Sus scrofa: one gene and its partners. Each later gene encodes a partner of the first gene's protein in a complex. Links are inferred from orthologs where the notes say so. Each region holds a gene or a part of one and is shown in the gene's direction. Other genes may lie near its edges.

Evidence for each region. The genes of interacting proteins can lie anywhere in the genome.
Region 2: NUP214 (region 1) and NUP107 share a complex: the UniProt entries of both Homo sapiens proteins name them as parts of the nuclear pore complex. The link is inferred for Sus scrofa from reciprocal best matches to the Homo sapiens genes NUP214 and NUP107.
Region 3: NUP214 (region 1) and CETN3 share a complex: the UniProt entries of both Homo sapiens proteins name them as parts of the nuclear pore complex. The link is inferred for Sus scrofa from reciprocal best matches to the Homo sapiens genes NUP214 and CETN3.

The regions. Positions count from the first base shown.
Region 1 is NC_010443.5:271,202,638-271,209,388, forward strand, and holds part of NUP214 (nuclear pore complex protein Nup214), read left to right. Parts: intron 1-3,627; coding exon 3,628-3,799; intron 3,800-5,611; coding exon 5,612-5,751; exon of another isoform or gene 5,752-6,751. UniProt on the Homo sapiens protein: Part of the nuclear pore complex. Has a critical role in nucleocytoplasmic transport.
Region 2 is NC_010447.5:32,986,234-32,994,307, forward strand, and holds the start of NUP107 (nuclear pore complex protein Nup107), read left to right. Parts: upstream 1-3,427; 5' UTR 3,428-3,661; coding exon 3,662-3,669; intron 3,670-5,648; coding exon 5,649-5,740; intron 5,741-6,559; coding exon 6,560-6,646; coding exon of another isoform or gene 6,647-6,647; intron 6,648-7,243; coding exon of another isoform or gene 7,244-7,270; coding exon 7,271-7,386; intron 7,387-8,074. UniProt on the Homo sapiens protein: Plays a role in the nuclear pore complex (NPC) assembly and/or maintenance. Required for the assembly of peripheral proteins into the NPC. May anchor NUP62 to the NPC. Involved in nephrogenesis.
Region 3 is NC_010444.4:97,588,674-97,596,523, reverse strand, and holds the start of CETN3 (centrin-3), read left to right. Parts: upstream 1-3,203; 5' UTR 3,204-3,325; coding exon 3,326-3,342; intron 3,343-5,140; coding exon 5,141-5,276; intron 5,277-6,827; coding exon 6,828-6,942; intron 6,943-7,850. UniProt on the Homo sapiens protein: Plays a fundamental role in microtubule-organizing center structure and function. As a component of the TREX-2 complex, involved in the export of mRNAs to the cytoplasm through the nuclear pores.

The DNA.
Region 1 (6,751 bases):
GCAGGACAGGCTGGCTGTTTAATTTCTCGTGTCTCTGTCATTTTGTCCTCTTTCCCCAATCCCCCTTTTTATTAACCTTTTCATTGAGTGTGAGATAAGTAAATACATTACATGTTCCTGTACGTAGATAGTAGCCACACAGAGTAACTCAGAGCTCAGTGAATTTTCACACTTGGCACATACCCATATAGTCCAGAATAAAGGATGTTACAGAAGCACTTTTTATCCCAGTGCTTCTTCGAGAGCATACATTTATAAACTGTGTGGCCTTTTATAAGCATGTGTTATTACACTTATAATGAAAAATGTTAAAGAACAAACATGTTTACGCAGCGAAAACGTCCTTCTTTTCTGTCCACTGCCCGTCCATCCTATCTCTGTCTCTGGGACCTACACAGGGTCTGCATGCCTGCCCTGGTTGTGTGGAAAATTGCATGACAAGTTTTGTTAAGGCAGAGGGGGCGGATGTGTGCTGAGAAAGTAGTTCTCTAAAGCACACGCCCACAGGTAAGTGGGCGGGATGCTTCTCCCTTGTGTGTGGGGGCGACTCTGAGTCTGACGATTCCAGAGCAAGGCTCCCGCCCTAGGAGCAGGTGTCCAGGTGGCTGTGACTGAGGAGCAGGGCTGCCCCAAATTAGTACCTGGAATCCCACCTTTTAGAACCTGAATCGCTGTGGTTTCCAAATGCACTGTGACCTTCACTCGGACCCTAACCCGGGGTGGCTTCGTCTTTGGGTGCTGGTTTTGATACGCTTTCGTAGAATTGAAAATGAACTAGACGTGAACAGTACACCTTTACTTCGACCCCACCCTTTCTGCAGTGTTGATTTTCGAATGAAAGGGCCACGAACCTTTTGGTTCTAGTTAACAAGGCAACATTATTTGACTAAGAAGTTGCAGCTTATTAATCATCGAAATTTTTGAATTTATTTAATAATTTTTAATTTAATTAATTTTTTGTCTTTTTTAGGGCCGTACCCGAGGCATGTGAAGGGTCTCAGGCCAGGGGTCGAATCAGAGCTACAGCTGCCAGCCTCCGTCACAGCCACGCCAGATCCAGGCCGCGTCTGCGACCTACACCCCACAGCTCACGGCAGCTCCGGGTCCTTAACCCACTAAGTGAGGCCAGGGATCAAACCCACATCCTCATGGATACTGGTCAGGTTTGTGAACCGCTGAGCCTGACAGGAACTCCTGAATTTATTTTTTGAGGAAACTGGTAATGTTTTCTCTGATTCTTGTGTTCTTCTTTTACATTGTTCCTTATCCTGGGCTCATGTTCCGATTGAATGGAGAACTTGCCCCTCTTATTTTTTCAGGCCTCTCACCTTTGAGAATTTTCTTTTCCTGTTTGATACTTGCCCCATGAAATCACCTTGATTGAAGACTCAAGGGATTTTAGGTTGATGGTTTGCATTGGTCTCTGAAATAATTCCAATAGCTTCCTTGGTCCCTTGAGCGCAGTTGCATCAGGAGATGCTCCTCCTGGCATTACTGGAGGAGAGGCCCGCAGGCGGGACAGCCTCCAGACAAGCTTACTGCCGCCCCCGGGTCACCGCATCGCTCTGTCTCGGGCATTGCTGGCAGTGCAGGGTGGCAGCCTGGCACGTAGTGGGTAGATGATGGGCGGCCTTTTGAGTCACAGAGACCTTGTCCCAGGCCCAGCTCTGCCACCTACGAGCTGGCCCAGCTGCGACAAGGGGCATGTTCTGTGAGCCTCATTTTCTTCACCTGAGACATAGGGATGCAGGGTTCCTTAGGCAAACTGCTGTCCAGCCCCTGGCCGCTGGCCCCTGGAGGGCCCTCAGTAAACCAGACCTCAGAAGTGTTACCATCAGTGATGACTCCTAAATTCCTGTTTCTTCTGGAGAAGGAAATCATGAGAATAGGCAGCTGTGGTGTGTCGTGTGCACGCGTGTGTCCCCTCCCCTCCCCTGTCCGGTTTACGGTCTGTATCATTGCGACTTCTCACTTTTCACTCACCTTCTACCGAGAACTCGGAGCAGTATTGAGTACTGGGCACTAGGTAAAGCCTGTGGGTCCAGGAAGAAAGTGTAACCAGATCTGTCGTCCGTCCTAAATAATTCAACGGCAAGGGTTTTTAGCACTTTCTTTTTTCCAGTCTGTTACAGTTGTAACCCAGCGGCCTCCGTCGCCACGGCTTGGAATTTCACTCAGGGTTTAAAGCGCAGAGTGTAAACCCAGACAGGAGCCTCACAGGAGGTACCATCTCGTCTGTGCTTCTGCTGCTAAAGGCAAATGGGCAAACGATTGAACCCCAGGTAGCAGCGAGCGAAGGGATCCCACGGACAGCCTTTCATATCCAGTATTTGATCTTTCCGATTCAGAGGCAGAAGCTCAGGCTGTGGTTATACCTGGAGTAAGAAGGCCTGAGTGGCCCTCTAACAGCAGGATTCGCTTTCTGAAAGGGGCCTGAATGAGGTCCCCTGTCCCTGGGCAAGTCCCCTGGTGGCTGTGCCCAGGCCACCATCGCCCCCAGAGCTCCTAGGCCAGTCGTCATTGTCAGCAGCACAGTCCTTGAGAGCACATTTCTTGGTCCATTCTGCCCCGTGCTGTTCAGTTGACACTTGCTCTGTATAATATGTAGGGAGAGTCTAGAATGTGATAGAGTGTCCGTACTAATGGCCAGGAATGATGTAAGCAGCAGCTCGGGGCCTGGGGACCCGCTTTCCGGAGCAGAAGACGGAGCCGCTCTTCCTGCCTCGTGGGCCTCCACCAGTCAGGGAGGCCACCCCGCGCAGGCCTGACCCTTCCTGCGCCGGGGGCCCCGGAGCCCACCCGGGGGTGGGGGGGGTCTTGGATGCGGGGCTCCCCTCGCGGCTGATGGATCGCTTTCTCGCGTTCCTGCAGCAGCCCTCCTCCAGGCACCGTGTGCCTCTTGATTGAGGAGTCGTCCCTTACTGCGCAGAGAGAGCGTTTAAAAAAATTCTTCCGTATGGGAGAGAGACTCCAGGGAGAGATGCGAGAGCCAGGCGGCTCTAAATTAGTCAAAAGCGCCTGGCCGGGCGCCAGGGCCATGCCTCTCCACTAACGCAGCTCCCAGATTCTCCCTGAAGCGGGGTCTCAGCCTCCAGTTTCAGAGTCTGTGTCTCCCTGGAGCAGGCGCCCAGCCTGCACGGTGCTAAGTAATGAGATGCGGCCTCTGACAGCTGGGTGGGGATTGGAGTCTTGAGGGTTTTCACTGAGGAGCCCAGAACATGCAGAGGGGCTGGGCAGGGGTCTGACATGCACCAAGGTGGTTCTTGGTGGCATTCAGATTCTCCAGGGAGACGTGGCGCTGACGTGTCCAGCTTGCCTCTGGGAGGGACCGGGGGTCTCCCAGACGTCTAGGGTCTGCTAGATTCTCAGAATTCCAGGGAGCTCTCCTAAGTGGACCCCAGACCCCTCTGCTGGCTGTGGAGGGTGGGTGGTCATGGTTTGGCATCCGGGGTGGTTTTATTATTTTGCTGGAGAAGGGGTATTGTCCTTTGCTATACTTTTTTGTATTTGACTTTCTAATGTTTTTTTCCCTTTTTTCCCTTCCTCTTTTGGTTTCTCACTGCTCACTGTCTTCTCTTCCTGTCTTCTTTCTTTCTCCCTATTTCTGTTTGCCTCTGTTTTGCTCAGGTGGCTTCGGTGCTGCTCCAGTGTTTGGCAGCCCTCCTACTTTTGGGGGATCCCCTGGGTTTGGAGGGGTGCCAGCATTCGGTTCAGCCCCAGCCTTTACAAGCCCTCTGGGCTCGACGGGAGGCAAAGTGTTCGGAGAGGGTACAGCGGCCGCCAGCGCGGGAGGATTCGGGTAAGCCCCCCGGGAGAGGCCTGGGGAAGCCCTCAAGCTCAGGTCAGCAAAGCACCAGGGCCCGGTGCTCCTGTTTTGGAAAGTTCTGTTTTCTCTACTTTTGACTGAGCTGAAAGCCCCTCCGTCCAAATCAGCCAACCAGGCGCTCTAGGATTCCTGTTCTTCCTAGCGGCAGGCCCGTTTCTGCCAAGCCAGGCTCTGTCGAGTACACGATCCCATCAGCTGTGTGGCCGTCCCTCGGTACAGAGGGTGCTGGTTGGTGGATGCCTGGTCTCCGGGTGGAGCCGGAGGATTGGTTACAGGAAGAAAATCCGTCTCACCGTGGCTGGCTCCAGCCCGGACTGACCCTTGTGTGATGACTTCTGATAGGAAATTCCGAATGAATCGTTTTCACCAGATTCTTTCCTCTCGGGGTTGTTGTGCAGAAGACCCTCTGTCCTTGAGCCAACCAGGCCTTGTGTCCCCTGCGCCACTGCAGCCGCGCAGGGCAGGGATTGGGCCCGCAGCCCCTGGGCCAGCTTCCACAGCAGGCGGCACCGAGACCCCGCACGCGTTTCGCAGTCTCAGGACTGCTCAGCCTTTGAAGCTGCTCAGACTGCCTGTGCATGGCCTCACTTGAAAATGCCATTCTAGAGACTTGCTGTTAAGGGCCCTAGCAATTGTCTGCTTACCAAAACCCCAAGGAGAACATAGCCCACAGCCCCACTAAAACATACGTGCTGATGGCCTCAAAGAGGCCCGTTCAGAGGAGGTAGTAATGTCTGAAATCCACGTCAGAGGGGCCTCCGGTGGCCTCCGCACTGGCCCAGGACGTGTAAAGCTGAAGCGTTGGGGAGACCTGGCAGGGTGCTTGGGTTGCGTGTTGGTGAGGCGATAGCACCTTTGTCTTGAAAATAAACTTAAGTGGTCCTGGAGCTCCCCAGTGGCTCGCCGGGTTAAGGATCCTGTGTAGTCACTGCTGTGGAACTTCTCTGTGCCACGGGCACAGCCAAAAAAAAACCTTAGGTGGTCCTTATTCATGGCCATTCCCCCCGTGGAAGATGCTGGCTCAGAAGCGCTGGAGAGGCTCGAGGAACGCGAGCAAGTCCTACTTTTTGGATTTTGCATGGAGACTGATGGGTCTTTTGAGTTGCTCCCAGGAAGTCAGGAAACCCCAAGACTTAAGGAACGCTTTCAAGGGAGGGTTGGGATCCCTTTAAGCCAGTATTCTTGGCAGTTCTGACGGACACTCGTCTCGCCAGTGACCGCCCAGCCCGTGATGCTGCAGCTGACTGGGAATCTCGAGGGTTTGTTTGTTTATTTGAAACCAGCTGTTTTCTTCACTGGTAAGAAAGGATCATGCTCTGCCTTGACCAGGGAGGCTACTCTCCCATGTACATCCTGACTGGCTGGCTCCCTGGCGCCAGCTCTGGTCGGAATCCCCAAAAGAGCCGTCACCTTTCTTCAGGTCCCGGGCTGTGACGCCGTCGCTGACCCGGCTGGCATCTGAGGAGTCCCCACGGTTGGATGAGAGAGGCCCGAGGCAGGAGTGGGATTAGAGCAGGACCAGTGACCTGGAATTTCCAGACAGTCAGATGGAGACTGAAACACTGGACCAGGGGTCCTCAGACTGTATTTCCCCCAAAGCGGAGGGGAAGGTTTGCGCCGGGCTCTAGCCTGTTTTCCCTGAGAGGCTGCCAGATTAAGCCGAGCCCGTCACCTCGAATCGTGTGTGTCGTGCCTCTCAGGACTCAGGAGGACGGACTGAGGCCATTGGGCAGCGGGGGGCCCCGTGGCCTCGCTGACACGGTCTGCTCTCTCACCCCAACCCAGGTTTGGAAGCGGCGGCAACACCACGTCCTTCGGCACCCTGGCGAGTCAGAACGCTCCAACTTTTGGCTCCCTGTCCCAACAGTCTTCTGGGTTTGGGACCCAGAGCGGGGGGTTCTCCGGCTTTGGATCAGGCGGAGGAGGTAGGCGGCCAGACAGCTTCCCGCACAGGGGCCCTCCTGGTTTCCTCGGTAAATGCCCGCCTGGCCCCCAACCCTTCCCAAAGAAGGGGGGCCTTTCCTGGCCGTTCAGTCCAGTATGTGAAAGGCTGAAGGTGCTTGGAAGACAGCGTGTTCTTTTAAGGTTTTGATTAGACTTGGAACATGCCGTTTCTTATCGAATAATGAGATGGCTCACTTGATGTTTCTCTCAGGATTTGAGGATTCCCAAAAAGTAACCATCCTACTAGATCTTGATGTAAAAATCTAAGCCAGCAGACTCAAGAAATAAGATACAGAAAAATAAAAACAACACATACTTTACCAAACGTCATTCGTCTGTTTGACACTCCACTGCACACAGTAGGATATATACGGTCTGCTGTTTTCCTTACAATACATGTGAGACACAGAAGTTATAGGCCTCGTTACTGTTTTACAAACAAAGATCCAGAAACTCCAGGGCGACAGACAGTGAGCAGCAGAGCGAGGTCTAGAACCCAAGTGTCTTGGGACTTCCCGCCGTGGCACAGCGGAAACGAATCCGACTGGTGCCCGTGAGCACTTGGGTTCCATCCCTGGCCTCGCTCAGTGGGTTGAGGATCCGGCGTTGCCGTGAGCTGTGGTGTGGGTCGCAGACGCGGCTCGCATCCCGTGTTGCTGTGGCTGTGGTTAGGCCAGCAGCTGTAGCTCCGATTCGACCCCCAGCCTGGGAACTTCTACGTGCCTCAGGTGCGGCCCTCAAAAGACAAAAGACGAAAACTAGAACCCGAGTGTCTTGCTGCTCTGGCCTCAGACGAGGAGGAGGCGGGTGGATGGGAAAGTAGGGGGAGGAGCAACCACGCTTTCTTAACGCGGGGGACCTGTGTGGTGGGTGCGGCAGGGAGGGGGCCGTGCCGAAGGCCCTCTGCCCACGCCGGTCGGGGAGGAGGGAGGACCCTGCAATACCCAGAAGGCCACGGCCCTTCCCGCGCGGCCGGAGGAG
Region 2 (8,074 bases), on another chromosome or scaffold:
TTTCAATTGAATTATGCTATGAAAACAAACTGCTTAAAAAAACAACCAAACAAAAAACCCATGGAATCCCCTCTGTAGCACAATGGTGGCATCTCTGCAGCAATGGGACAAAGGTTCTATCCCAGCCCAGCACAGTGGGTTAAAGGATCTGGTGTTGCTGCAGTTGGGGCATAAAGCGAAACTGCTGCTGGGATCTGATCCCATATGCCATGGGGAAGCCAAAAAAAAAAGGGCACAGTGAACTAAATAACAATACAACAAAGGTCATCCAGTCTCACCAAAGACAACCACTACCAACATTTTGCGATCTTTCAGATTTTTTTTTTCTTTTTTCTTTTTCAGCCGCATCTGAGGCACATGGAAGTTCCCAGACTAAGGGTAGAATCAGAGCTTCAGCTGCTGACCTACACCGCATCCTCCTTCAGATTTTTTTTTTCCTTTTTTTTTTTTAGGGCTGCACCTGAGGCACATGGAGGTTCCCAGACTAGGGGTTGATCGGAGCTACAGCTGCCAGCCTATACCACAGCTACAGCAACGCCAGATCCTTAACCCACTGAGTGAGGCTAGGGATTGAACCTGCAACCTCATGGTTCCTAATCGGATTAATTTCCGCTGTGCCGTGACGAGAACTCCTCAGATGATTTTTTTTTTTTTTTTGTCTTTTTTTGTCTTTTTGTTGTTGTTATTGTTGCTGTCTCTTGGTTCTTGGGCCGCTCCCTCGGCATATGGAGGTTCCCAGGCTAGGGGTTGAATCTGAGCTGTAGCCACCGGCCTACGCCAGAGCCACAGCAACGTGGGATCCGAGCCGCATCTGCAACCTACACCACAGCTCATGGCAACGCCGGATCGTTAACCCACTGAGCAAGGGCAGGGACCGAACCCGCAACCTCATGGTTCCTAGTTGGATTCGTTAACCACTGCGCCACGACGGGAACTCCTCAGATGATTTTTGATGACAGTCTCTCATGTGGTTGTGGTCAGATATAGTTAATGGGATCATAGAATTCTTTAATTTTCTCCATTTGCCTCTATTTTCTTATCTTTCTGTCATAGTTACATCTGCTGGATCTATACTAAGAAAACCGCTAACCAGCTATTTATAATATACCAAACAGAAGTGTGACTGAGAAGGGACGTTAAAAAACAAAACAAAACAAAACAAAAAAACCTGCTTCCTGAAATGTTTTTTAAAATGTTTACTATAAGGAGTTTCCATCGTGGCTCAGCAGTTAACAAACCCGACTAGGCTCCATGAGGACGCAGGTTTGATCCCTGGCCTCCTTCACTGGGTTAAGGATTCGGCATTGCCGTGAGCTGTGGTGTAGGTTGCAGATGCAGCTTGGATCCCGCGTTGCTGTGGCTCTGGCATAGGCCGGTGGCTACGGCTCCGATTAGACTCCTGCCTGGGAACCTCCATATGCCGCAGGAGCGGCCCTAGAAAAGGCAAAAAAAAAAAAAAAAAAAAAAAAAAAAAAGGAGTGGAAGACTTCTGTCGCGGCTCAGTGGTAAGAACCTGACTAGTATCTATGAGGACACAGGTTCAATCCCTGGCCTCGATCAGTGGGATAAGGATCCATCCGGTGTTGCCCTGAGCAGATGCGGCTTGGATCTGGCATTGCTGTGGCTGTGGCATAGGTTGGCAGGGGTAGCTCTGATTCTATCCGTAGCCTGGGAAGTTACATATGCCGCAGGCGCGGTCCTAAAAAGAGGTTAAATAAATAAAAATAAATGTCGTGGAGGAGGAAAAACATAATGATGTTTGATTTCCTCAGCTGTTAGGGGTGAGGGAGAGGAAAAGTTCCTCCAAATCCAGTAGTTCAAGTCTGAGTGCTTTGGGGATGGCTAAATCCCCGGTCTTTAGTTCCTGAACAAGTCTGCTTTCCCAAGCTTTTCCCACCAGCTTCTTAATTCCATGAGCTCAGTGATGGGCTTCTAGTCAATTTCCCTTTGCTTAAGTTAGCCCTAGTGAATTTCTGTCACTGAAAAGAAGAACCCTAATATTAAAGCTAGAATGTGTATGATATGCATCACACAAGGAATTCATTGCACATAATTCTAAGGCAATAAAATGAATATATCTTGATACATTTAAGGGTAGTAAGGTGTTTATGCTTGGTAATCATGTCAAAATGAACCTCAGCGCACTTTTCCACAAGTATTCTCTCTTTTCACTTGAATTAAACACCGAGTTAATGCCCCAAACTGCTCTTCCCTTTTATTGTGTGCCTTACACACTTCAAGTATATTATATGAATAAAACATATTGGATGAGATCCTACTGTATAACTCAGGGAACTATATCCAATCTCTTGGGATAGACCATGATGGAAGATTAATATAAGAAAAAGAATATATATGTATGTATGACTGGGTCACTTTGCTGCATAGTAGAGATTGGCACGTTGTAAATCAACTAAAAATTAAACACACAAACAAACATTGGAATTCATTTGCCAGAGGACACAAAGCAAGAACCTGAAACACTGGTTCATAGTTTGAATAAACCTGCCTCTGGCCCTGACCAAAAACCATTAAGACCACATTTCAGTTTCCATAAAAGAACAAATGCTCTTTTGTACAAGGAAATTCATAGATGGAAAAAAAACAAGAGAGCACTTGGTGGGGGGGATCAAGCTGTTATTGGAAGAGGAGAAAATTAACATTTCGATGAGTGCTGTATGCAATGCACATTGGACATCGCTTCTTAATCCTCCCAAGAACTCAGTGATAAAGGCGTTATCTCCTTTCCACAGATGAGAAATATGCGGCTCAGGGGTTCTGAGCCTAGCTGGAGCCCAAAGCCACGTTTTCTTAAAACCCCACGTCGTCTCAGCGGGAATTAGGTATGAAGACGTCTTCCTGGGAACTACGTTTCCCAGGATTAGAGCATAATGTAAATGCCTTTCGCCAAACTTCCACTGATTCAGGGCCAGAATATATTACCTTTTGCCTATCCGGCACTTTGAAATAGAAGGCAATACCATCATCTTTCATGCTTTTTAAGACAAGTGATTCTTTTTTCTTTAATGGGGAAAAATAGCAAGTGAAGAACAAATAGCCATTGTAGAAAACAATTTCAAAACCTGTAGGGGGTTTACACTACAGTTCAAACAAAATGAGTACAAGAAGAGAGAGACACGGACCCCCGAGGTGTAGAGCAGAGCCTGCACATCTCAATTCCAAATCTGGGCTGTTTCTCGTAGAGAATACCAGGAAATGACTTCACGTTTTTCTGAACTATCAATACAAGTCAAGTATCCCAGTAGGAGAACCCTACTTCTGGACCACGCCCACAAATGCCAATCAGGCAAAGGGGCGGCCGAGCAGCGCCACTAAACCCGGTCAGGTCCCGCCTCCTGCCCCGCCCCTGGCCCTGCCCGGCTGAGCCCGGCTGGGTCGACCACAAGATACACCTTTGCGCCTGCGCAAACCGAACCGCCTGCCCCTGGCAAAAAGAAATTGCGCATGCGCCAAAGGGGAGAGCTGGTTTTTTGTTTTTTTTTTTTTTCTCCCCGCCCGCTACTCAACTCTTTTCCTACAGCGGCTTAGCGAGGCTATGCTTCCGGGTCAAAGGGTTTGCTTCCGGAGAGCGGGAAGGCCGAAACGCGGCGGCTAGGTTGGATCTGAGTTTATAAGCTTCTCGTTGGAAAAGGCCGTGGCCATGGACAGGTTAGTTCTGGTGATGACGGCTGGGCTCGGACACTTGTCTCTCCCCGTTGGAGGAACGAAATGGGTGAAACCCGACTCCCGGAGGAAACCGAGGAAGGCCCGGATGCTGACCCGGGACTTCTTTTCTGGGCTGGGGGACTACAGCTGATGGAAGAAAGGCTGCCTAGGTCTGGGAGGGATAAGGATAATGATAATCCCCTGCGTTTCCGCTTGACTCCACCATCTGTTCACTTTCGCGCAACAGTTTTCCCTCCTGGGGTGGGCGGGGTAGGAGGTGGCCCGGCCTTCGAGATGCTATTACCTGCCGGAGATCACAAAGCCAGTCAGTGACGGAACTGGGATCTCAGCCCAGACCTTCTCATTACAAGTTGCAGCATCACATAGTTAACTGTATTGAGTTCTTTCTGTGACACTGGCTCTATGCTAGGCACCTGCGACAAAGATGAGTTATTTAAGCTTTTTGGCCTTGGAGAATGCGTAGTGGAGGAGACAACCGAGCGGTACAAAGTGGTGTTTTTGGTACTGCTCTTTGGGAAGAGAAATGAGGGAGCACGGAAGTCTCCCTGTCCTGGAAGGTATGCGGAAGACCTCTCAAAGGAGATAACTTTCTAGTTGGTCTTTGAATAACATTAGCCTACAATGAGTACGCTTTAAATGTTTTATTAGCTAATCTCCCTAACAATCCTATGAGGATAGTTACTGCGATCCTCTTTTCATAGGTAGCACTGGGGCTAAAAGAGGTTAAGGAACTTGGTCAAAGTTAGGAAGCTAACAGATAAGAGAACCAAGACACCAACCTAGATCTGTGTGTGTCCAGACTCCAGGAGGCTGTTTGATAAGTAAATATTCACCAGGTAGACCAAGGAGACAAATGTAGGCCTCTGTAAGAGAAATAATACGTACAAAAGTGTAAGGATATGAAAGGATAGTTGAATGGTCACATTCACTGTAGCTTTGTATGGGAGTGATGTTTGTGGCTGAATATAAGCCTGAACTGGTAAGCTGGAATCAAATTGTAAAAACTGTGCTTGAAAGTTTGAATTTGATTCTGTAGGCCACAGATAGCTATCTGAAGATTTTAAGTAGAGGAAATGCATATTAGAGTCTTAAGATACAGGTCTCATAATTCGCACAATATTTTTAGACTTTGGGTGGAGAATGACAGGGGCGTTGTGACTACAGTAGCGCTGTACTCTTAGTGTACTCTGGGGAGAAATAACTCGAAGGGTCATTCTCTCCACTTTACTAGAATTCTTTTTCACTTAGCCTCCCAAGTCACCAGCTCAAATAGTTGTACCCATGGTTTGGAGTATTCTAGAGACAACAGAAAATCCCTTTAAGAGATAGTTCCTTCAATTTTAGGGACCTCCTCAAGCCAATAAGAAAAGATTTACCTAAAAAAAAAAAAGAAAAAAAAAAGATTTACCTTCATGAAGCAATTATCTTTTTTTTTAAAGTTTTGATCACTGTTTTAGATATTTTATTGCTAATTTATTTTTTACTACTCAATGAATTATTTTACATTTATAGTTGTACGACGATCGCAATTATCTAAAACAGTGTTATAATCTAGATTAGATTCCAAGTGTTAATAATTCCGTAGGAGAAAATAACAAGTGCTAGAAAGTCAAAGAAGTCTTTTTACAAGTAAAATATGAGCAGGACTCTGAAGGATAAGCAGGATTTGGAGCCAGAAGGGTATTGTCAACACAAATATCAAAGACTTGAGAATTGTCTTGTGGGGCAGTGCATTGAAGATCCAGCATTGTTTCTGTTTTGGCACGAGTTTGATCCCTATCTTGGGAACTTCCACATGTCCCAGGCCTGACCAAAAAGAAAAAAAAAATCAAAGACTTGGCTACTGAGGTGATCTACACCTTGACTGACTCAGGGTCTTTTGCTCCAATCATGACGATAATGTGTTTTTGCAAATACTACATTCTCATTTCATTCACATGAACTTGATTATGCAATTTTAGGAGTGGCTTTGGAGAGATGTTATCCCCTGTGATCCGGGAGGCAGAGGTGACTCGGACTGCACGCAAACAGAGTGCCCAAAAAAGAGTTTTAAGTATCCTTTGCATTTTAAGCATCAGAATAAAAATTGCAACTTGTTTGGAATTAGAATTAATAGAATTTTATTTTTATGAGAGATATTAAGCACTAGCTATAGTAATAAAATGCTGTGGAAAATAGGTTTGGTTTTGTTTCTTTAACTCCCCACATATGTTATTTGGTAAATATAATGCTGAAATTCAGTGGAATTCATATTTCCCTGAAAATAGGAATGTTCCATTCTACTGCTATCATATTGTGATTAACTTCTGCTGAAATTAGATTGTTTTTTTATTTTTTATTTTTATTTTTTAATTTTTAAAAATTTATTTTATTTTATTTTTTGTCTTTTTGCCATTTCTAGGGCCGCTTCTGTGGCATATGGAGGTTCCCAGGCTAGGGGTCGAATCAGAGCTGTAGCCGCCAGCCTACACCAGAGCCACAGCAACGCGGGATCCGAGCCACTTCTGAGACCTACACCAACAGCTCACGGCAACGCCGGATCATTAACCCACTGAGCAAGGGCAGGGACCGAACCCTCAACCTCATGGTTCCTAGTCAGATTTGTTAACCACTATGCCACGACGGGAACTCCTAGATTGTTTTTTTATTATTTGAAATCTCTTAGTTCAATGTGTAGAAATCTAAGACTCATAACTATGAATTTAAATGGGAAAGGGAATTGTTTGTTCTTTGCACAGGAACAATGTTAGCCATAAAATAGCATGTTCTTAAAAATTGTAATTTACATACTTTGTTTAGTCTAAATATGGTTCATTCCAACTTTAATGGTGTCTTTTCTACATGGAAAACTTTACTTAACTTTTTCCTATAGTTCGGGCATCCCAAGATGAAATTTTTACTAATACTACACCAAGAAACCAGGTTATTCCCCGAACTCCCAGCTCATTTCGACCACCTTGTAAGTTGTTTTGCTTTTAAGGCATTTAATAATAATAATAATAATAGCATCTCATTCTCTTTGGCTACAGTATCAATAATTAAGAACAAATAATGATTGCAGTTACTCTTTGTTGAACTCTTACCATGTGTGAGACACTGTACTTACATAGATACATAATAACTATGACATGGTATTATCTTTGTTTTGCCAAAACTGAAAGTGAGACTTAGAGAAACTGATTCCTACAAATAACATAGCTACTTAGTATGTAAGTAATGGGACCAAAATTCAAACTGTAATCTGCTTACTCCACATCTTTCCCCTCTAGACTGTAGTTGTCGTATGCTTCGACAAAGTCATGGGCTCCTTAGTGTCCTTCATTAATGCTAAGTTATGTTGTAATGAAAGCATCTCTGTTTGCAGTAATAATTTTTTCCTGGTAGTTTCAGTAATACCAAAAGTTTGGGTATTTAGAAAAATAAGTTAAATATTCATATCATGGAAATGTTAATATTGAAAGTTATTCATTTGGTTAGAATCTAAGTAATTGAAAAATGGAAATTATTTATTCTCTGTTTTTTCATGTTTTCATGATCGATGCTCATGCACTTTGAATTCTTTTTACTAACCTCTTGCTTGTAGTTACTCCACCAAACCGAAGCTTACTAAGGCAACCAGATGCTTCCAGCATTTTTGGAACTGGAGGGAGGTCTCCCCGGCTTACACAGTCTTCTGGGTTCTTGGGAAATCTGTCTATGGTATGTATAAAAATAGGGCTGGGAGTTCTTGTTGTGGCTCAGCGGTAATGAACCCCACTAGTATCCGTGAGGATGTGGGCTCGATCCCTGGCTCCACCCAGTGGGTTAAGGATCCAGCATTGCTATGAGCTGCAATGTAGGTCACAGACGTGGTTCAGATTCCGAGTTTCTGTGGCTGTGGCTTAGGCCGGGCAACTACAGCTCTTTTTTGACCCCTAGCCTGGAAACTTCCATATGCCGTGGGTGCAGCCCTAAAAAAAAAAAAAAATGGGGCTGAAATTTTCTCCTTTTTTTTTTTTTTTTTTTTTTTTAATGGCTGCACATGCAGCATATGGAAGTTCCTGGGCCAGGGATTGAATCCAAGCCACAGCCATGACCTAGGCTGTAGCTGTGGCAACATGGGATCCTTTAATCCACTGCTCTGGGCTGGGGACCAAAGTCACACCTCCACAGAGTCCTGAGCTGCTGCAGTGAGATTCTTGACCTATTGCACCACAGTGGGAACGCCTCTCCATTTTTATAAAAGTATAATATTTAAAGCTTAAAAGCTTTTAATGAGAATTAAAGTCTTAGCATAAAAGTAACTACGTTATGTGGATTAAAATAATTTTGGGGTTAGACTTTGAGAAAACTGAAACCCTTAAGCATCTCATGTCTTAAGTGGAAGCTGTGACACCAGCAACAGTTA
Region 3 (7,850 bases), on another chromosome or scaffold:
TTTAAAATAAAGTATATTTGGTTTGGTTCACCAAATTTGGTTTTAATGAAATGTTCCTTCAGACAATACCAAATCGATTTTGCCACTGTCTAGGACTTTTGCACATACATTCACTAATGTGTATCAAATATGAGGTGGGCACATAACAATAGTGAGCAACATGCATACCCTCTCATCACAGAGCATGAATTCAGTAATTTTAAATGCTTTTTAGGATGCTAAGGATTGTGCTAGCTTCAAAAATTAAGCTAAGAAGGTCTCCATCATGCTTTGAGTTTAAAGCACAAGAATTAGCTCTTCAAGAATTTTTAAAACTCAGAGTTCCCGTTGTGGCGCAGAGGAAACAAATCAGACTAGGAACTATGAGGTTTCAGGTTTGATCCCTGGCCTCGCTCAGTGGCTTAAGGATCCAGCGTTGCCATGAGCTGTGGTGTAGGTCGAAGACACGACTTGGATCTGGCATTGCTGTGGCTGTGGCTGTGGCCAGCAGCAACAGCTCCGATTTGACCCCTAGCCTGGGAACCTCCATATGCCACGGGTGCGGTGCTACAAAAGACAAAAAAAAAAAAAAGAATTTTTAAAACTCACTCATAAGTCTGAGTCAGCTGAATGCCTTTTTATTTTGTGATACAGAACTCTGGCATCATTTTTTAAAGTCCTGTCTACAGTTATTAACCTAATTTAGTTTTCTACCTTCTTTGAGTCTTTATCTCCGTTTTCCTTGAAAAGTGACTATTTCATTTTGGTATTAATATTTGTTGAAAATATAGAGCTGTATAAAATATTTTAATAATTTTTAACTCTCTCTTAAACTACTACCCTTATTAGTGGCAATATTCCCTTTCTTGTTACACTTCCTTAACTCTGCCATTTTTATTGGTACTGCCAAAAACCAGTTTATTATTACAGTATGAGAATATTATACCAATTTATTAAACAATTTTCTTTTTAAAACCTGTTTTCTAATTCCTTTGTTGTTGTTCTTTTATCTTTAGTAAAAGTTGTTTTATCTTTAGTTCTTCCTAACTTCAAATAATTTTGATCACTTGTAAAAATATTCAAATAAATGTTTTTCTTATTTTTGTTTTTATCTAATAATAAAATAATTTTTCCCTATAGCTTAGTCTATATCTTACAATTTTAATATATAGTTTTTTCCCTGTCATTACATTATTGTATGTAATTATGTAATTGCAATATTAGTGTCCTTTTACACTCAAATGTGATTTATAAAAGTACCTTAAAATTTAAAGTTTTCTACTTATTTGGGGGGAGGAGCTATTAATTTTTAGCTTTATTCCATTATACCACTGTGAACTGGAGTTTGGCACTTGCTGTCTACCTCTACATGCATTAAATCATGAGCCACTGCAGCTGCCAACCAGCAGTGGAGTGGAGCTCAGGGCAGAGACCAGAAGTGAGGCACTCTGTGCTCTGGGAAAACCAGAAGAACAGATCTTCAGACAGTCAAACGTTTTTAGGAAAAGATTTTATGTGCCCAATTCTTGCATCTCCTCATATCAAGCAAAACACTGAAATCCTTCATGGTGATGTCTGCTTCTAATGACTAGTAGTAACCTTCATGAGGCCAGTAGCAAATTTTTGTAAACTGTATGCATGACTGCATGCACCTCCCCCTTTACCTTTATCACCAGTTATATCCTGGTATTTCCCCTTTCCTCTCTGAGGCTATATTTATTAGAGCTGTGTGAATGCAGCCACCTCCAAGGCTAAGCTGCTGAGCCCTGAGGGAACTCAGGAAAGAAAGAATACCTGTCACTTTGCAGCCATCAGACTACAGCCACTCCTAACAGCAAAGTGTGAGGAAATTTAGGCTGTGAAAACACGGGATACTGGCCCAGATAGCTAAAGTGCATATCAAAGGAATGATTTTAGTGAGGCCAGACCTCTGGGTCTTCCCAAAGAAAAGGGCTTAATTCTGTAACTTGAGATACCTAGTTTTCGGTAATCTTTTGTTCCTACTACCTGCCCTTTGTTCAAAAAACAACAACAACAAAAAAAAACCCAAAACCCCAATGACAATAAAAAACTTCCTCTATATCCTTATTCCCCCCTACTCCCGCTGCAGAATGTTTTTTTCTGGGTTACTTCAGATGTTTCCTCCTGGGCTTAAGACCTGATTTTGCCCCAAACAAAACTTAACTTTTAGGTTGTGCATTTTTTTTTTTTTTAAGTCAACACATTCTTTACTTATCTAAATTTAGTTCAAACTTCTAGGCCTAACATAAATGCCATCTCCTTCAAGAAGTCTTTCTTCTATCCTGCTGTGTTCTTTCCCTTCTATATATATCTTCCCCCTTCCCCTGTTGGACACTCTCAGGCTATTTTATGAGATTTGCAGTTTAGCTCAGTACTTTGTGAGTTTCCATAGCAAGATTCCATTCAATACAGCAATATTTATTGAGCACCTCTGCATCAGACATTGTACTAGGCCTTAGGAATAGCGTTAAATGAAACCCCGGCCTTCAAGATTAGTAGGAGAGACGAACAGGTAAACACATTAAATACCCCAGTGAGCTTCAAGAGACTTGGTTCGGTAGTGAAGTACCAAAGCACCTCAAAGGAGGTATAGGGGAGCAATTGCCATCTAGGCACAGCTTCACCGTAAATAGCCTAATAATTCAACCCAGTGATTATAAAGGTATAATTAACAGCTCCTGCCTCAGAATCATTTGGATTTTGTAAGGAAAAAGAAAAAAGGCAGATTCACATCTACTAGAATCAGAATGAAGGAAAGTGACACTTAAATCTGAGTTTTAAACAAACTCCCCATGTATTTAAATCATCCAAAATTTAAGAATAGAGTGGAGCCAAATTTCGCAGATCTCATTCACAAGCTACTTCCTCCTCCTAGCAGGACAACCTGCGGGGTGTCTCTTCCCTTCCTGCGCCGTTTCCAGACGTCGTCCACATGCCGCAGGCCTTCTCTCCTGAGGCTTTGGTCAGTCACCCTCAGTCCGAAAAGCCCAGCGGACACTCAGACCCTCGCTCCGCAAAGGATTGGAGGGGGTGGGGGCTACGCTACAGGTCAACCTAAAAGGCGGGAGGGGCAGCAAGAGAGCCGAAAGGGAGAGCTCTTTGATTGACGCGAAAAATGCCCAATGAGAGAAGAGGACTAGTGACGCTTCCGCCCTAATGGGCAAGGCATTAGCTATTTCAACCAATCCAGCTCAGAAATGTCTACCTTGTGGGAGGTCTTGAGGCTGCTTAGGTCGTTGTCTGTTGAACCGCTTGTGGAAGTCGTTCGGCTTTGAGTAGGGGGTTAAAGTCGTTCTCGAGAGGAAAGTCTCTGGCCGAAGAGAAAATGAGTTTAGCTCTGAGGTCGGTAATGAGGAGGCGGCAATGCTCTCCACACCACGCAGCGGGCCCCAGGGTGGGTGTGTGTGGAAGGGAGGCAGCTTGGGGCGAGGCAAGGAAGGGAATGCAGTTTGGGACGAGGGAAGGGAGCCTTGGCCACCTTTCCTGGGCCAGACTCCTCATCTTCGGGGCCCGGGTGAGCTCCGTGCAGTTAGACGGTCATTTCTGTCAGGCCACTGGGCTTTGGACCCCAACAACCTGGGTTGTTATAGTCTCGAGGAGGCAGTGAAATATCGCGAGGTTTCTACGCTCTTGTTTATGTGAACTAGGAAACCAGGCCTTGGAGCATCCTTAGTAAAGTTCCCGTCATTCCTTCGCTTATGGCCTCCACCGCAGCTCCCTTCCTGCTAACATCTAACCCGTAGATTTTAGAAATAACGTAAAGCCCTCCTTGCTTCACTATGTAATAGTAGACCCATTTTAGTGCTTTTAGTTGGTAATCTCTTAGATTCCCTGAGTTTATTTTTCGCTCATTTCCAACCACTAACCTACCATTTGTTGCCTACTTCCCAACTCCGACTAGGCGTGTTACCGTAAAAATACCTATAGAGTTACACCTAACTAAAAAGGTACCGAGTTCTGATAAGGCATAATCGTGGTATCCTTGGCTGGGGTCAGTGGTCGGTGGTTTGCGAACTTGTCCTCTCAAAATCTTGGGAAAAGAATGGCCGACCCCCAGAACGTCCAGGCTTGTGTGAAGTGGGGTCTCCTGTGAAAGCAAGATCTACCTCAGCTTTATCATATCTCTTTTGGTCACTTTCTAGTCATCTCTTGCCTTTTGTGTGTGTGTGTGTGTGTGTGTGTGGTAGATTTCAGAGAACAAAGCAACTTAAAATGCAAACAGATAACGTGTCTAATAAAATCAACTGGGTTTTTACATTTTCTAAGTTTTACAGAATTCTTCTGCTTCAAACTTGCAACCCTATTTGAAAATTTGGAACATCTCAAGATATTTCTGGCTTTTACAATAAATTCCTTTTTTTCTTCAGCCTTTTTCAGGGTTTATGAAAAATTAAATCCAAATGTATATGTTAAGTGAGATTTACAAGACAGTTGACTCCACATTATTATATAGCGTTAGCACAAATATGTACTTTTCTGGTGTTTAATAGTATGCTTAGGCTAAGTTTTTTGGGTGATTGTTAATAATATCAGTGGGAGAAATTGCAAATAAAATGCCAAACTTAAAAATGTGTAATCTAAAAACACTTTTGATCCACAATGCCAAAAGAGTTTATGTTAATTGATGAGTTAGATGTCTTTTTGTAGTAATTTTGATAGTTATTAACACTATAAAAGTAAGCCTAATATGTAGTGATCATCAATTGTGAATTCTTTTTTTTTTTTTTAACAGACATTGTAAAACGAGTAACTATGGGTGCTTTGTTTTTTTGGGGGGGTTCTGATATAAAACTAATGTTTCTTATTCACATTTCTTGTTTCTTCCATAGTAATATTAGTGGAAATAAATAAAAAGCCAGGAGGAAGGGAAGTAAGGTCCTCATTTCTTTAATAACTTAACACTTTTCAGTTTTAGGAAGCACAAGTTTATAGCACCTTAGTCGATGGGAAGAGCAGGGCTTTGACTCATGTAAGGAAAATCTCTTCCTTTCATGTAAGGAAAATACTTCCTTTTTAGAAATTTAGGTATTTATTAATTGGCTAATTTTTTGTATTTTTGGATTCTTATTTGAGTCATTTAGAAGCATAGGAGAATGGGATTAAAGTGCAATAAATAGGGTTTTCTGTCTTCATTTCATAGAAATGAGCTTGTAGTAGACAAAACAAAAAGGAAAAAAAGAAGAGAACTCTCTGAAGAACAGAAACAAGAAATTAAAGATGCTTTTGAACTATTTGACACGGACAAAGATGAAGCAATAGATTACCATGAATTAAAGGTAATATACTCGACCTCTATCTGTTAAAATGATTTGCATATTGACAGTTGATTAAAAATATATTTATAAATATTTTAATTTGGTTTTGGAAATATGAAATCATTTTAAACATTTACCATTAAGTGCTTTTAATAAAATTGAATAGTACTTGTAGCATATCTTTTTAGAAACTCCTTCTCATATGGTAAAATGAATAGTATAATGTAAAAATACATTCCTATGGAGGGGCTTATTTTTCATTCACGTAGTTAAAAAAAATAAAGCTATGGTATTTAAACTATACTTACCGTATTCCTCTTCCCACTTTGGTGTTTCTTCTTTTTTGGTGACATATTTTTCAGATTGAGGGAGTGTTACTCGTTTTTTAATTTGAACATGTTGGTAACAGTCTCATCCTGTTTTCTCTGGTGCAGGAAACATAAGTGATATCTGATGTTGACACAATGCTAATGGGGAAAGTGTCAATTTTAGGTTCTAGAAATATTTATAAAGAATCAAAGGGGAATTGGTATTTAAGGTAGGTTGGATCTTACACTCAGCACAATGAGGAAGATAGTATTCTTATAGCTCTGTACTCACAGTTTCTTTTAGTTACCCAGTTTTGATCAATTCTTTTTTTTAATAATGTTTCTTCTATTTGTTGCTATTGTTATTATATTGGTTTGGGATCTTAATTCATATCTGAAACTTCCTAATTGGTTTCTCTTTTTCCTGTACACTCTCATTAAATTCATCTTTCTAAAATTCTTTCATCATATTATTCATTGCTCATAAGCTTTATTTTGTATACTCCGTAAAGTTCACATTTTTAAAAATTTTTATTGAATGCCCTCCACACTTTTGCTACGACCTACTTTTTTTCTCATTTGCTAACTGTTTTCTTCTACCTAATCTCTTCCTATTCAGGTAAGGTGAACTGCTCTATTCCCTGTCTTCAAGCTTATTCTTTATTTTAGTGTGTATTTTAATACTAGTCATTTTTTTCTAAATGCCCTTCTGCTCTACTTCATTCGTGCACCATTTAAGGAACAACTATAATCTTCTAAATTAGACTTCTTTAACCATCTCTTATTACTTGTAACTAGTATCTAGATCTCTTCTTTCTCTAAGCTCAGGGTCCTAGATTACTTACTTGATAACTAGTCATAGAGAATCTGATGAAAATTCTTATTTTAATTTTTTAATCTCTTCTTCTGTATAACTTTTTAATATTTATATTATACCTTCTTTCCATTTTGATTGTTAATAGTTTGAAAATGAATAAGCCATTAAAATTATCTTTCACAAAAGTCAGTGCATTGTATAGTGTATTGTCTAAACTCATTGATTAGTTTGTCATATTAAAAAAGGGATATATAGATGAAAAAATTGCCATCTAATTTTAGTACTGAAGAAAAACTATCACTATTATTTTAGAGACATAAAATATGCGAAAGAATATATGTTTTATTGATGTATTGTAACTTTTAAGTACTAAAAACTTATTTGAGAATGGGAAATCACTTTTGTAAAAAATGCATTATAATTTGCTTTTCTCTTTTAATCCAAAAGGTGGCAATGAGAGCCTTGGGGTTTGATGTAAAAAAAGCTGATATACTGAAGATTCTTAAAGATTATGACAGAGAAGCCACGGGGAAAATCACCTTTGAAGATTTTAATGAAGTTGGTGTGTATTTTAATAGTCTTTGTAATCATCAATTGTTAGAAAATTACCTAACTATTTTAAAAATTCTCTCGGTTGTGGAATTTTGTTACCGAGTATATATGATATGGATCTTAATTTTGGGTTTTTTTTTGGTATTTTTTGCTGATTTTCAAAGAAAAAAATAAGATTTATTGCTTCATTGTAAATGGGATTTATCATTTTGTCTTTTGTTCTGTTCTGAAGATTTTAACCAAGGAACTATTGTATAGCTTCTTATGGAAGGATATCTTTCCATGTAATGTGTGCCTATATTTTGTGATAAAACTAAAAAAAATCATCAAAAAATTATTTTCTTGGAATTCCCTCATGGCTCAGTGGTAAGGAACCCAAGTTCCTGTCATGGTTCAGTGGTAAGGAACCTGACTAGTATCCATGAGGACACCAGTTTGATCCCTGGACTCGCTTACTGCGTCAAGGATCTGGAATTGAGGTGAGCTGTGATGTAGGTTGCAGATGTGGTTCGGATCCTGAGTTGCTCCGGCTATGGTGTAGGCCAGCAGCTACAGCTCCGATTCAACCCTTAGCCTGATTCAACCCTTAGCCTGAGAACTTCCATCTGCTGTGGGCGTCGCCCTAAAAAGACAAAAAAAAAAAATTATTTTGTTACAGTAAAAGGTAAAATATGGTATTTTTGTTTGGAAAATATTTCCTGAGACCATTCTTAAATATGATTTTTGTTGGCACAGTGAGAGGAGAGGAAATTGGCACCAGTTGGTATCTTTGGCTGTTGATGAAGTTCCTGCCCTCAGGTTTACAGAGCTTGTGAGGGGCTGCCTACCCTGGATGACCTTGATCTCAGAGAATAATGTCATCTCTTTAAAGCTGCAGGTGGGGAGAAGATTGTAGTAAGGGAGATAGTTGACAGACTG